Linked DNA regions of Schizosaccharomyces pombe. The gene in region 2 interacts genetically with the main gene of each other region. Each region holds a gene or a part of one and is shown on either strand. Other genes may lie near its edges.

Region 1 (5,261 bases), on a different chromosome or scaffold from region 2:
TTGTGAGCTTGCTCATCTTTCCAAACTTTTTCCTGGTTCCTCATTAGCAGAGGATGCCTAATCATAATATTAGTAAAACATCTTTAAACAATTATATTAATGCAAATAAATCCACTTACCAGCTTTTCTTCATATTTAGATCTCCACCACCCATTTTGAATTACTAATAAGAGTTGTTTAAATTTCAAAATAAAATTGAGAGGAAAATCCACTAATTGTTTTATTTTTAGGATTAAAAACCACAATTCTCAAAAAGTGGCTATTAATACAAAAAATTGAGTCTCGCTTTACCTGTGACTCATAGTGTTTTGCAAACATATACACTAAATTACTTGGGTAACATGTTACCCAAGAATAGAAAGTCAAGCTTGCGAATTCTGAGACCAATCAATAATAATCACGTTCAGATTTCTTAGTATTTTAGCTATAACTAAGTCATTGATAAACGTAAGTTCTATTTCACTTTAAACTGATTAAAAAGCAATGTATCATTAAAAATCCTACTTGATTATGAATGTGATTTTAAACAAATTGGTATACAGCATGAAAACATGGGTTGAAACTTAATTATATACTGGAATAGAATATGTGAATTCAGTCCAATAAGTTGCATATTATATACTTAATCCATTCAAAATCAATCAACATTTCTAAAATGAGAAATGACTAAGTTATTCTCCTTGGCAAAACGATGGTAATTCAGCAAGCAAAGTGTAATTTACATAAGCTATGCATTTAATGAAAAGATTAACAATCACGTTTTTTATTTTTTTTTGTGCATGGAGACATGACAAACTTCAACATCAACTTCACTGGATATTAGTAATGATATCCAGAATTTTTGCGCTTCTGAGAGCCTATCATTATCGCTTTTAACTTCTGAAAACATAAATTTTTTTTTAGACGGATTCCACAAACATAAATCAGGTATCCCGCTAGAACTATTTTTATAATCTTGGGTCAAAGCAAGAAATATTTGGGCGAGTCCATTATCGTTGATACAATCGACAATTTCAAGAAGCATTTCGCAAGTATACGACCAATTAAGACCTACACAAAATGTTTTTCTTTGGTGCTCTCTGATATAATTATCTTTTATAATTAGGCCAGCTTTCCCATTTCTTATTTCCTCAAGTCTTTTCATGATTGTCGATTCTCTAGATATATAAAAGGAATCAGTGTGCAAATCCAAAGGTGCACTTTGAAACGGAGATTGAAAAACACCAGGAACGTCCTCAAACAAAATATCCCAGAATGTCAAAGCAAACAAAGTTAGCAAAATGCTGCTTTCAGCATGTATACCTTCCCACCCAATCGATTGATAATGTTGAAGAGCAAGCTCTTCAACTGTGATAGCATTATTAGTCTTGCTACGCCAAACAGTCCGGTTTGAAAGGTCACCGTTATGTATTCGTTCACCATGAAGAAAAAGTCTTGAAGGATTATTATTTATAAGTTTCATGCTTTTTAATTCGGTAGTATTAGAGACTTTTAAACACTTCCGTAAGCGAACAAGTCTCCTTTGTAAGCTAAAGTAATATCTGAGGTGGGTATACTTGTCTTCAATACCATTTTCACAAGTTGATAAAGCAAGCGTTTTCCAATAACGCAAAACGTTAGTATCCTCAGTTTTAAAGTTGTATTCCAGTAAGGCTTTTCTATTATACCAATGTCCTCTTTTACCCACCAAATATATATTTTGAGATAAAAGGGTATCTAATATTTCATGTTCAACCTCAACTAATCGCGACTTCGCGAGAATATTTAGACTTTTATGTATTAAGTATGTGTAAACAGCACCAGGACGAAAGCTAAAAGAAAACCTTACCAATCGAGTATCTACTTTTCTATTTTCTTCCACCCAAAATTCCCTAATGTCTTCATTTAGATATGTCGACCATATAGGATATATTTCAAAAAAACTGTTCAACGCTTGTTCGAGTGCTTCCTTATCCGAAGCGGCAGTGTTTTCAAAGATTGGAACCAAGTTTTTTGAAAGTTCTAAAACCTCAACGTATTCAAGGCATTGAGCACGACAATTAAAGACGTTTGAAGTTCGCGATAAAACGTAATTCGGGTAGGAAAATTTGTTAAGGCGTGCTAATATTAAAGACGTAAGCGATTGTTCATCATAAATGGACGAACGAAAGTACACAATATTAATTCGATGAAATAGGTCTACTAAAATTTTCTTTGGTTTCACACAGGATTTGCATTGATATAATAGTTGCTTCCGAAGAAACGACTCTTGCTTATGCATCACACCAAAAGCATCAAAGGACAAAAATTGTTGACCATTACAATGTAGTACTGATTGTCTTTTAGATAGGAAAATGATTTCTTTTGAAATTTCAGACCTGCTTTTTCCACACACCTTCGTTTGTCTAGCTAACGAACGCAATTCATCGAGAGATAGAATTTCAATTATTTCTTCAGTTGACATGAGTGATTCATCTTCAAAAAAATTTTTCAGAACAAGCTGCTTACAGCAGGCAATAACATCCTTGCAATCTGGATAAGTCAAATGGCCCACGCGGAACCATTTATTTCTTTTACGCATGAATAGACGAACAAACAAGTACCGTTCATCCGAGTCTAAAGCTTTAAAGTTTTCAATAACCCTCAACTCATCATCAGTAAAGATATGCGGTTCACAATCGAGGACGGTGTTTAGGATTTCTTCGAACCCCAGCAGATACATTGAATTTTTAGTAGAATATACATTGTGCTTATTAGTATTGGCAACTTGTCCTTTAACTGTTGTCTCTGGTGCTTGACATACAACTTTTAAGGGAGGGAAACATAACTTGTTCTCGTTTACCCCAGATTTATCTGGAGTGTTTATGTCGCACGCTTCATTAAAGAATCGTTTCATGAATTTTTAGATATCACAGCAGCGCGACTGAATAAGTGCACAAGATGATGGCCGTAAGTAAACAAATATTTAAAAAAAAGAGCGGCTTTTACAACAATGGAAAGCTAGTATGAAAATAAATAATAATAAATTTTGAATGAATGTAAACGTCTTCTTGTGTAATAAAGTAAATTTTTAAAAGATTGAACATACAATTTAAGAGCATGGATTTCAAGGATAAAATGAGACAAACATTAAATCTATCGTGGATGTACTGGCAAAAAAAAAACGAAAATTATTGAATTTCATGGCAGCTGTAAATTTTTAAAGATTGCTTTAAAAGAAAGCCATACAATCAAATACTATGGTCAAAAGAGAAAAATTCGTTAAAACTTAGGAGAATGGTACTAGGGTAAGGACAACAGTTTAAATAAATGCTTTTGAAAATTTAACTGCATTCGTAAGTTACAGTGTTGTCTATAATGCAAGTTTAGCGAAAGTTGCTATTTGAAACTAAAAAGAAAATGTAAGTCAACAACGTTGTGCTTAAAATTACGACGCTGGCGAAGTTACTACAAACTCTCACTACCTTAACTTAGTAAGTCGAAACTTTTGACTAACCTTGGGCGTATCACATAAAGAAAAAATAAGTTAATTATTATTGTTCATGTTATAAATTTTTTTTAGCAAGGAATCCAAGAGCATTGACGCGCATATCATTTCATTAGAATTTGTACTTTTGTATTCCCTACTTTCATCAAAGTTTTTTCCGGAGAATTTAAGAGTTCATTTTAATAAACGAATTTCTTCCCTCCCTTCTTTTTTGAATAATTTTTTAAATAGCCTCATATTCATTCACTAACATGGATTTGTCTTCCAGATTATCATCAGGTTCTTCACGGATACCCAAGCGACACAGAGATTATCGCGATGAAGAACCTAGACGAGAAAGAGGTTCGGGTGGGATAGGAAGGGAAGACCCGAGAGGCCATTATGGCTCTGAACGACCTAGAAGACGTCGCCGAGACGAAAGTGATTTTCGTAGACATAGAGAATCTCGTGAAAGAAGTTATCGAGAGGATGAGAGGCCAAGAAGAGAAAGAAGATATGATGATTATGAGCCTCGATCATTACGTTATTCATCTGTCGGAAGAAGTAGAAGTCCACCTCCCAGCCGAGAAAGAAGCGTAAGGTCTATCGAACAGGAACTCGAACAATTGAGAGATGTAACACCAATAAATCAGTGGAAAAGGAAGCGCTCTTTATGGGACATTAAACCACCTGGTTATGAATTGGTTACTGCTGACCAGGCGAAAATGTCTGGTGTTTTTCCTTTGCCAGGCGCTCCTAGAGCTGCAGTTACTGATCCAGAGAAATTGCTAGAATTTGCTCGCTCTGCGGAAGGAAGTATTATTGCTCCCCCTCCGCCCTTACAACCAGGTGCTAGCAGACAGGCTCGTCGACTAGTGGTTACTGGAATTCCTAACGAATTCGTTGAAGATGCTTTTGTATCATTTATCGAAGATCTATTTATTTCAACTACATACCATAAACCCGAGACAAAGCATTTCTCCTCTGTCAACGTCTGTAAAGAAGAAAACTTTGCTATTCTTGAGGTCGCTACTCCTGAAGATGCCACCTTCCTCTGGGGGCTTCAGTCCGAATCATATTCTAATGATGTCTTTTTAAAATTTCAAAGAATTCAAAATTACATCGTCCCTCAAATTACCCCCGAAGTTTCTCAAAAAAGAAGTGATGATTATGCCAAGAACGACGTTTTAGATTCAAAAGACAAAATTTACATTTCAAATTTACCTTTAAATTTAGGCGAAGATCAAGTGGTGGAGCTACTTAAGCCTTTCGGTGATTTATTAAGCTTTCAATTGATAAAAAATATTGCAGATGGATCTTCGAAGGGTTTTTGTTTTTGCGAATTTAAAAATCCTTCTGATGCGGAAGTAGCTATCAGCGGTCTTGATGGTAAAGATACGTATGGGAACAAGTTACACGCACAATTTGCTTGTGTAGGTCTCAATCAAGCTATGATAGATAAGTCTAATGGAATGGCCATTTTGACAGAACTTGCTAAGGCGTCATCACAATCTATTCCAACTAGAGTCTTACAATTACATAATTTAATTACTGGGGACGAAATTATGGATGTACAAGAATATGAAGACATATATGAGTCTGTAAAGACCCAATTTTCGAATTATGGACCACTTATAGATATAAAAATTCCTCGTAGTATTGGCACTAGAAACTCGGGATTAGGAACTGGAAAGGTTTTTGTACGATACTCCGATATCAGATCTGCAGAGGTCGCAATGGAAGAGATGAAAGGTTGTAAATTTAATGATCGCACGATTGTCATTGCTTTTTATGGTGAGGATTGCTATAAAGCTAA
Region 2 (3,373 bases):
TCCGAGATATCGACAAATGGTTTCTGAACGTCAAAAATGTGATTGATGAATATCTTATGTAGTTCTGTTGCACCATGTCATTACAAACTCATTTAAAAATATATAGAAAGTGATCACCTTAAGATACCATAAAGGTACTGAATCGTGTTAATGTCAGTCTTTATAATAATAAATATTTATTAACCTCCAGGTTCAAAGTCGAAAACAAACAATCATGGTTAAAAAAAAAAAGGAACGAATTACATCTGTTCAAATTGCTATATACTCTAATTTGAATGTTTAACTAACAAAGATAAGCGTTACCTTGTGGCATCTATTTATTTTTGTTGAAACTTTTATTACTTTGTAAAAACTTAAGACAAATTACCAGAATTTGTTTTGTCTTTCCAACATGGACATGTAATATGTGGCTTCAACATTCATCAAAGAATCCTCTTCCAAACTATCAGTGACTGTGCGAAAGAAATTAAAGCGAAGACGATTATGATTAATCAGACGCTTCAGCACTGAAAATGAGTGAGGTGCATGAAATTGGGAATACTAAACCAAATTTAGAGATAATCAAGCTATTCGGTTGTAGGTGTTGTGTCTGAATATTGACTGGAATCATGTTCGTGTTTTTCGTCGGCGACTTGAACGATCGTTTTCGTTTGAACAGATGAAGAGGCCTTAGTAGAGATGGTATCCGCACCAAACAGGAAATAGCCAAAGAAGGTGCCACAAAAGAGAAATAAAATTACATAGCCATTATAATACATTGCGAGTAACATTGCGATATACGCGACAATATACTGGACTAGATAAAAGCAGGACCGAAGAAAATGAAGAAAGATTCGAAGGGCCATGCTTGGACCAGAATGAACAGGGGCACCCGAATGACAGCAGGAATTGCTAGCGGGAGAAAATCTACGGACACACCAACGATCGAACTCTCTTTGTCCGCGACGGACCAATTCCAATGCCATCATCATGAAGATAATTCCGAAAATACTACCGACAAACATATGCTTACTGGTGATATGCCAATGTTTGGTAATAAAGCAAGCATCGATAGTATACCAGTTCCAATACATGGATAATTTACAAGAAGAAGCCTTTGCGGTTGTAGTGGTATTAGTCATATTCATGCCAGACATGGATGTTGTGCTGTTGGACATGTTCATTCCAGACATGGATGTTGTACTATTGGTCATGTTCATTCCAGACATGGGTGTCGTACTGTTGGTCATGTTCATTCCAGACATGGATGTATCATTCGACATGTTCATAGCAGCCATAGCGGCTCTAGCAGTCAAAATTTGCAAAGGTGGGAGCAAATTCTCCAATTGAGACAAGCTAGAGTCATCTACAGGGCCTTGGGAATTTTGAGCCATAGATGTTCCTAACTTAATGAGGGAATTACCCAGACTTTGCTTTGCAGCGGAGAAGAAAGACATGACTTCTAGGGAAAAATAAAAAACCAGAAGAGTAGTAAATGAGTTTTAGAAAAAAAGGACGAAAGAGTTAAAAGAAAACTTGAAGATTAGGGAAGACCAGTATCTTACTAACTTTGACAATTATATATTTAGATGAAAAATTTTTGTTCTTAAAAAACAAGAAAACAGAATATATGCAGATGAAAATTAACCCTACGAAACACAATGGAGAAATGAATATCAAAAGGAAGAAAAAGAAAATGAGAGACAAGAAAAGAAAGAAAACACAATTATAAAATGAACGAAATTTCGGCAATCAATGGGCAGAATCTCAACGAATTGAAGAGCAAATTGAATTTATACAGATTTCAAAGAAAATATTCTGTTTCTATATTTTGCTAAAAAAAACCAATTTTTCGACCAATATGAAAAATTACAAGTAAATAAACTGAATTTAAACGATTAAACTAACCAACCCAATGTTCTACCAAAGCCTTTCAGTCAAACAATCGTCTCAAGGTTAAGCGTCCAGGAATGTCTCTATCACACCTTCCTTATATATACCATAACCTACGAAATGAGCGATTATTTCTGTCCCTAAAATCAGCTCTTTTACAGCGCAATAATACCTCGATTGATTTTTTCTTCCAACAAAGTAACATCCAAGTAGCAGATGGAGGTAGAAGAAAAATGCCTCATTTTTTTTCATCAAATGAGTGAATCAGTCGGAATCCAGCATCACAAACAGTGACATTTCCATAATTTTAGCACAAGAAAAACACACACCTAAGATTTAGGTAAGACATCCAACCTTTTTGCATAGAGGAAATGTGACATTTTTTAGCATCAGAACCGTTGAGTGCGCTATCCACTATTAGAAGGTATTGTTTTAACGATACACTATTTACAAAAATAACGGTATGTAAGATACAGCATTTCAGTGCAAGCTCACAATATTGTTAATTTTGAGAAGCAAAAATATGGTCACAGCCAGGTTCGAACTGGCGACATTCGACTTATTAGATCGACATGATAACCGACTACATCATGCGACCACTTTTTGAACAATTGCTTCTTTAATATTTTATATACTCTTTTAGTGAGTAATAGAGATGGAATTTTAAGAAAACAGTATTGATGTTTTTTACAAGAAAGCTTGAGTTTAGAGTGAATGGGTTGGAGTATAAATTTATTAGATTTAACATAGTCTATATCGGATTCTCCCCATTTTGGATTCTCTATTTTTTCAGTTCCCCACAATTGTGAATGCACAGAAATTTTTACCAGTTCTAGTCTCAGGTTTTTTTCTATGCAAACTAATTCACATCATTTTTTCTATTGTATTGAAATGAATTTGATATTTGCAGTGAAAAACAGGTGGCTTGATGACTTTTGATCAGTTAAAACCAACAGGCCGGTGAAAATATGAAAAGACTAGTAAACACATTTGGGAAATACTAGGGCTGTTTTATATATTTATTTTAACCGAAGCTATGCAACAAGAAAATAATTAAACAATTCGTGCTATATTTATTGATTTTCAGAAAGAGAACCTCGAGCTGAAATAAAGGGGAAAAGACCCACAAATCAAAAGATTGGTATTACAATTTCATTCATCTGCTTTATTTTCTTTTTCCTTTTTTAAAAATAAGCATGGTCCTTTCAACTGTCCAATATTCTTTTACACATGCTGCATTATATTTACATGCCATACATAACAATATAAATGTGCTTGAAAAGACAATTGGGGGGTTTTTTTTTCTTAAAGGCACTGAATCCTTCATTACTAATCATTCTCTTCAGAGATGGATCAAGGATTGTTTACTTAACTTTTCCAATAGTGTCAACGCTTGTACCAGTCTGACTATTTAGCTACCAAATAAATAGCTTTATAAATATATTTCTTCTTAAGAGCGAAAATTTAACGTACATTATAGCTGCTTTTTGTTTCAGGTGAT
Region 3 (3,807 bases), on a different chromosome or scaffold from region 2:
GAAATTTTTTTACTTCTACTTGATCCTTTGGAGTAGAGGGATCCAGTGCGCAACCTGTGCGATTTACAACTGCCATTGCCCAAGTGTCGAAGTTTTCTCTAAAGACGTCCAATAATTGAGAAAGATATTTTACTATTTCAGGATCCGTGTTATCGATTATTGACTCTTTCTTCTCTCGCATTTCACCAATTGTACTAGCAATTAAAATTGTATAACGAGTACAAGCATCATCGTCAAATAAGGATATGATTTTCTGTTCTGCCATATTATCTAAAAGAAGGAAGATATGAAAAGGAAAAAATTAAGTAATGTATGTTTTGATATGATTCGCATAGAATGCACAGCAGAAAGTAATTGTGCACCAAAAGTTTAAGAACTTCTGGTATCAGGAATTAGGAATGAAAAACTTCTTCTTTCAAAGCAAACCTATTAAGAACTAAAAAAGTAAACAATAGTTGAAAGAAAATGGTCGTAAAGCAAACTTGATATTGAAGCACTTAGCACACTAATGGAAGAAACGTCATAGGTTAACTCTCAATATAATGGAGATGTGCGCACTCACTATTTCAAGTTAAGGCACACCAATCTCGGCCACGATCAGCTTGGAAATGGCACAAGGAGGGTTCAAGGAATAGTGATACCAATGAAGCTAAAAAAATTCCAGAGCTATCTGAAGAGCCAACAGTACTAATAGCTAGTTCACGCTGACTACTCTCCGTAGTCTGCAAACTATGATACACGTTCACATAAACGGTACCACCAATAAGACCCTCAACGAATATGAGGAATAGTACAAAATGATAGCTGGAAGTAAGATATAGGGCCGACTGTAGTATAGTAAATAGAAGGATAATGAACTGTGTTATTGCCAATGTGCGCAAATATGGGACAGTAAAAAATGAAATGGAGGATCGCGATAGGAAAACACCAATCTGGTAAACAGTTTGGTAAGTAGGATAAAAATCCCTAAACGAAGAAAAGCCAGCTTTTTCGGGCGGGAATAAAAGAGTGGGAGCTACACCAATATTGATAGTATATTCTGAGAAGTATACAAGGAACTGCGGAAACATATGACTAAGAAGGTATGGTTGCATGAATATGAATGTTTGCTTCAAAGAATTAACGAAATTGAATGAAACGTGCCCTGCTCGAAGATCAATAGATTCAATTGGCGTATAATTGTTGTTAATTGAAGGTGATGTAGATTCAGACTCTGGCAACACAAAAAAGTACATGATCAAAAGGAAAAGCGGCAGAAAGCTAGAGATAATAAGTGTGCTGCGTACCGAGAAGTTAAACCATGTAGTCATAACCAAATAGGAAGATGCACCAAAGAGACCGGCCAAGCCTGTTCCGGAACTCCAGCACGGTAAAGACACAGAGTGATAACGACTTGATAGATGCAAGAAAGAGATTTCGCCAAAACTCGATGAAATGGCTGCCAGAGATACACCAAGCATTTTCGAAGGGACGGAGGAAGACCAAGCAATCCATTGCATTCCTAATATGGACATGAAAACACAAAAACCGATTCTCTTTGCAAACTTAAATTTATGAACATGAAGAATTGATGCTGACAACTTGCACGCCAAAGAAGGAACAATATTAGAAAGTAGTACCACACCCTTAGAAACGTTTGCGCCAACCAAATCTAAGGCAGCGGATAAAATTATCACGTAGAGAAGGTTGTTTAACAATCCAAAAATTAGGAAGCAACACCCTACTTTCGCATCTTTTGTTAACCTCAATTTAATCATGATTCGTACTATATTTAGTAGAAACTGAGGTCATAAATTTTAGTTTGAACCGGCAATACGATAGTAGACTTTTGTAAAGTGCTAGTCTACAAATTTGCTGTTGTTTCGCAAATAGCACACTTTAAAGCCCTTCTATCGATGACTTCATAGACGAGTTAACTTGTTACAAACTGTAAATAGCGAGGATCAACGAACTGAAAAGCAAGTCGAGATATGTTTAACATTTATTATTCGAGTAGCAATAAGTTGAAGAAAAGAACTCGTAAGCGCTTAAGGGTACAAAAAAAATTGAGTTTTTAGTAACTTCGTAAGAGAAAGGCTACTACCCTTCACGAATGGCGTATTGAGCGATTGAATTATTACGGTAATGTTGTCAGGTTCAAAAGAAACCGATTTTGAATGTTACACTGTTTTTTCCAAGCAACCGCTATCAAGCTAAAGCTTACCCTACTAAAATTTCAACGACTAGTAACTGACATGCCTTGCTTGCTGTGATCGAAAAGCTCCTAGTTTACTCATGCTTCGGTTAGCACTTCTTGAAATCTCCCAGGAAAACAATTACAACATCTTTAAATATTCTATTCACGTGTCTACAGCTTCTACTTATGAAGTTATTGTTTTTGGCACGAGATTTATTTTGGTTTAATTCCGATCTTCGTTTGCTTATGTTTAAAAACTCTAAATCGTAAATCAAAACAAATTGAATATAATATCGTATGAATGTGTCTTTACCGAACTACGGTTAACATCGTTATTGCATTATCACTTTGCTCAACAATAATATAAAATAGTAATACGCATGTATCTACTATAGATATTTCGTATTGCTTAGTCAATTTTTTTTTTTTTTTTTTACTAAATGAAGGTTTGACGCTCCGTTACGACTGTTTATAATAACGAATTGGAAACCGAACCGAAAAATCATCTCGTTCATTATCAAATTTGCCTTGTTTGCTTTGACCCATAACACATTACATTTAACAGTAATGGGATCATTATGTTAGTTACTGGGAATTATATTATGCTTGATGCTGTACTACAAATTTATAATACTGTCCATAGAAAGTGCGATATTGGCGTTTTAACGAGCGTTTCGCTATCATTCTCTAGTTTACAAATCGCACCTCACCATGGTTCATAAATCCAGCAGCTACAGCAAACAGCTGTTTGCAGACGCACTTTAGAGTTTGAATTTTAGAATCTCTTTTAAGTAAAGCTAAGAGACTTATAATCTCTTAGATTTCCTTTGGTTTTATATTAACTTCAATGAGCATAATGAATTATTATGCGATCACAGTGCCATCGACATGTTTCAACATTTTTTAAGCACATGCTGTTAATACTATTTAATCCACTAAACTTACTAATGAGAGTATCCTTTTAATCTACTGATAAACAAAAGGAGTTTTCGTGCTGTAAAATGGTAATTTTACAGTACCACCCTCTCCCTGTAATCGAAAATGCATACCAGATATGATGATGCACTCATTTTAACTCTCTTTAAACTATTAAAGTATATTCCATCATTTCCGTACCCTCGTTTCAGAATGTTCATATGCGACTTGTATAAACAACTCATATAATCTGAATGCAAAACTTCCCTCATTGTTAGAGATGATCATGTGTAGATCATCAAGTAAAAAAGATGGACGATGTGCGCTTCAATGAGTTAACACTCGCATCAAGCTTTTGGTAAAGCCTTTGACTCCTATTTTTTTTGCTCAGCCTTGTTATATTTTGTTTAAACCAGTAAGAAACTGATTAATAAAAGTTTCCCCACACTTTTGAATGTTTTGTCGAATAAGCACTGTTTTTCTGTTTGTTTACAGAGTCGATTGTTTCGGTTTGAGTGATATTTAAAGCAGCATTTTTTTTGTATATATAGAGCCTTTAGTACGAACTTTCTTTTCTTTACCGATTGATTTTTGTCAAATATCATTACTGTTGCATTCTTATCTTCTTGTGTCAATATTTTTTTTTCGGCACCTTGTGCTTCTTCTGATCGCAATTTTGTTTAGTATCGATATCGCGATTTTTTTGACTCTTCTTT
Region 4 (3,705 bases), on a different chromosome or scaffold from region 2:
GGGGCGATGCTGATGCGCAGTTTGAAGCTGGTCTTCAAATGTCTTTGGGAGCTGTTTCAGACAAGGACTCTCATATGGCAGCTTACTATTACCGTTTGGCTGGATTTCAAGGGATTTCACCCCCTTCGAAATGCAAGTGGGTTTATAAATCGAAATATAGCTTAGCTGCTAATCATAAAGTGCCTGCTGCAAGCGAAGTGGCATATGTTTCGGCCATTGTAGAAAATTTAGAATCTCACTCACTGAAGTTTTCTACAAAGCCAAAAGCTAAATTACGAAGTTTGATTACTTCTGTAAGGTATTTGTAAAATCCCTCTCATTCTTTTACCATTTTTTTTGTCTTTTTTTTTTGTTTTTGTCCTATTCATTTATTTGCATTTTCCACAATATGTGTTTGCTAGTTAGTCCTTTTTTTTATTACAATCGCTCTTTAGTCCCTTTATAATTTAGTTTGAGATTTGCATATCTAGATAAAGAATTTAAAATTCTTTACTAATCCATTAAGTTACAAAAGACCAATAATTATTCATTAAATTCATTACAAAAAATGAAAAAAAAAATAACTTAATTAAGTTTAGTTGAAAAAAAGACAAATACTCAATGAAGCAAACAAGTCAAATCTTATCCTTGATACCTAGTTAAAGGATAAAAAGTGATTCCGACGATGAGAAAATAATCAAAGTAAGTTAGGCTTAATGGCATAATCCTACAGTTTGAACAGTATCACAATGAGATCTCCTATAGCCAAAAGCAGCACCGATAGCAATGGCGAGGATGACATAAGCCTAAATAAGTAAGTATAAAGCAAGAAAGATAGATGATTGTATTCGACTATTCCCTCGAAGTCATTAACTTACGTTGTAGGTCATGGCAACCAACCTAAGTCACTTTAGTTAGTAAAAAACAAAGAATAAATTGATTGAAAATCGGAAAATAGACAGATCATACGAAGCAATGTCTATTATGAACATACATTAAGAAATATGAAAACACCAGTTGAACAGCGTACAATGCACACAAACGAAAAGGTCGACCACTTTTTAGACTCTTACTATGATGGGTTAACAAACCCTCAGACTGCTGACCAGCATAACCTCTTTGAAATTCTGTTTCCTTTAAACTGGTAAAGCTGCGAAGTCTTTCAAAAAGATAACCCAGAATCGCAATTGCTAACAGAGAGAGTAAAAATTGGCTCAAATTACCGATATGCCAACTTTTAAATACTATGCATAAGCTGCAAGGTTAGAAAATAACGAACGTTTAAAAAATATAATAAATCGGGAAAAAGTCAATGAAAATAATTGTACCAACAGTTATCTAGAACTTCATAAACGAACGTACTTGTCATAATCGGTGTTAAAGGTCATCTAAGCATGTTAACGAGTGTTTTTGGATAATCAAAACAAATACTGAAATAAAAAATAGAAAGATCATACCTTCATTGAACAGTGTCGCATCGTAGAATTACCGCCGTGATTCATAGTGCCTACAGAATTACTTTTTACTTTCGGCTGAGGTAGAACAAGGTTAAAACACAAATATAGTAAAGAATGGATGTACAGGGCAAATAAAAACTTATAAGCAAACGAAGGTAAATTGCAGTCTAGCACTCATCATTTTATGTAAAGACGCGGTGTTTATGCTACAATTATGCAAGTAACGATATATCAGCCGATCCACTCCAGCACCACGTACACTAATGGTATATTGCATTGAATAAATTTACCGAAAAAGAGTGAACATTAATGGTAAGGAAAGAAGCAAACAGTATGTATAGAAAATACGAATAACTGAAATGCATAAGCAAGCACGTTACAGTATTACAAATCTTGACTTACAGGCATTTCAAAGAAAATTGGATTGCATAAAGAAAGGATGAGTTAAATATTTCAAAGTATAGTCTTCATTTAGCAAATACGAGTAAATGTATAAAATATTTTCATTACAAATTGAACTTCATAAATATATACTCACTTTTATCCTTAATCAGATGTTTTATTGATTACTAATTTTGTATGTCAAGGAACTCATAGCGGCATAAATATTAATTTAATCATTTACAGCAAGATATGCAAGCACATGAGATACACTTTGTTTACAACTCAGAACTTTTAGACACTAACGGTTGAAGTAGAAAAGTTGCAGAGTGAGAATTGACAATCGGAGGCTTCATATCTTTGCCAAGACCTTCAATCTCCAATTGAATTTTCGACAATATTGAGTCCCTTACTTCTTGGGATACCGGTTGACTGCGTTTTTTATTTTGCACATGAATCTCAACAATGTTTCCATCTTGTAAAAAATCTTTAACACTTTTAAGTTTTCTCTCGATATCATTCACATCAGTTCTCCAAGAAAACAGTACATATCGAGTACGAGTTTTATTTTTGTGCTTCGATTTTTCAGCTTCACGTAACCTAGAAGATTGATTTTCTCGTAATTTGCTAAGTTCTGTGTAGCTGATGATAGAACATATAGGATATTTATTGTTCTCGTTTGGATCGGCCACCTTGTAAAGAACAGTTTCCGGTTTTGCGCGAACTCTAGCCAACGCTTCAACTAAAGATGTCTTCGAGAGTTTCCCTTTATTTTCCAGCCCCCGAATAAATATTTCTTGATACTTGATCGATTCATCAATTCGTCCATCAAAGTACTTCTTTATAGAATTACTGAGTTTCGCACTTGCAAATTGAGAATTCATAAAAGTCCGGCTCTGGCATTTTCGAAAAACTGAAGTTAAGGAATAGGAAAACTGAATGAAAAGTTTTCGATGAGGAAACTGTAAGTAACTATTCATTTCTCTCAGTAGCTACTGTGCAAGCCGTATCGTATAGTAATAACTGTTTGGTCAAAAACTTCAATCCAGCAAATTACCAACAAATATATGAAGAATCGAAGAACGGAGGTATTGCAGCTTGTACTAGATTTTAATGAAGTAAAACTCTATATATGTTTTATATACAAGCTAACTAAAATGAAGAGCAGTGTATTTGAATTCCTCTAGCGTGTACCAACCCCCAATGAAATGCGAATTTCATCATAACGTTGTTTAACGTATGCTTCAGTAGCTCACTAGTAAACAATGTAAATAAACGAAATTAGTTACTCCAAGACTCCTGTAAGTGAAAATGCTGAGAAATGTGTTTTTGTTATTATGCTAAGTTAATATATCTGTAACCTTTTTTGAAAAAGTCGTTTTTCATGAAATTTCAGGTGTTATGCACGGCTTCAAAAGCTGGTATCTAATCAGATAAGACGCACATAGTTATACTTAATACGTGCATACTTTACTAAGTATAGAAGGCAAAATTGTAAGTAGATCAAACATCTACCTATTTTAAATAATTATATTCTTTAAATAGACTTGGCAAATCTTTCGATGTATTGGATTAACTCAAAGACAAGGCTTTTCACGGTACAAGGCTATTCGCTGTGATAATTCATTGTTTGCTTCTTAAATTTCCAGAGCCTTGGATAAAATTTAATAAAACTGACTGATGATTTAAGAATAATTAACAAAAGATCAGTAATAAAGCTCAAATAAAGATTCGTCTGCCAAAAGACAAAACAACAACTTAGTCAATATTTTTAATCTCATTTTCCTCATAATAAATGGCAATGTTTAACAGTTAAAAATCAAATCTATTTAATAAACTTTTATAGTCAGCGGTTAGTCAAAAAAGTCTCTAGTTTAGTCCAGTAATT

Evidence for each region.
Region 1: mutations in ctr4 (region 2) and fan1 are lethal when combined (synthetic lethality), as found in Schizosaccharomyces pombe (one large-scale study listed by BioGRID).
Region 3: mutations in ctr4 (region 2) and btn1 together harm fitness less than expected from each alone (positive genetic interaction), as found in Schizosaccharomyces pombe (one large-scale study listed by BioGRID).
Region 4: of ctr4 (region 2) and ctr6, changing one enhances a phenotype caused by changing the other (phenotypic enhancement), as found in Schizosaccharomyces pombe (2 studies listed by BioGRID).

Annotation. Positions count from the first base shown.
Region 1 is NC_003423.3:1,009,838-1,015,098, forward strand, and holds fan1 (fanconi-associated nuclease 1), read right to left. Parts: upstream 3,269-5,261; 5' UTR 2,876-3,268; coding exon 764-2,875; 3' UTR 511-763; downstream 1-510. Other genes in the region: protein Cwf25, read right to left, coding at 1-57, 120-154; prp2 (U2 small nuclear RNA auxiliary factor small subunit, U2AF-59), read left to right, coding at 3,718-5,261.
Region 2 is NC_003421.2:816,522-819,894, reverse strand, and holds ctr4 (Cu(2+) transporter complex subunit Ctr4), read right to left. Parts: upstream 1,437-3,373; coding exon 567-1,436; 3' UTR 534-566; downstream 1-533. Other genes in the region: telomere cap complex subunit Ten1, read left to right, coding at 1-46.
Region 3 is NC_003424.3:2,049,896-2,053,702, forward strand, and holds btn1 (battenin CLN3 family protein), read right to left. Parts: upstream 1,854-3,807; 5' UTR 1,758-1,853; coding exon 567-1,757; downstream 1-566. Other genes in the region: protein Mil1, read right to left, coding at 1-265. UniProt on the Schizosaccharomyces pombe protein: Involved in vacuolar transport and vacuole pH homeostasis. Also required for cytokinesis.
Region 4 is NC_003423.3:2,098,049-2,101,753, reverse strand, and holds ctr6 (Cu transporter Ctr6), read right to left. Parts: upstream 1,640-3,705; 5' UTR 1,482-1,639; coding exon 1,437-1,481; exon of another isoform or gene 1,368-1,436; coding exon 1,342-1,367; exon of another isoform or gene 1,235-1,341; coding exon 974-1,234; exon of another isoform or gene 880-973; coding exon 858-879; exon of another isoform or gene 786-857; coding exon 693-785; 3' UTR 501-692; downstream 1-500. Other genes in the region: SEL1/TPR repeat protein, protein kinase inhibitor Nif1, read left to right, coding at 1-308; mti3 (mitochondrial translation initiation factor), read right to left, coding at 2,096-2,797. UniProt on the Schizosaccharomyces pombe protein: Mobilizes stored copper from the vacuole to the cytoplasm under conditions of copper limitation.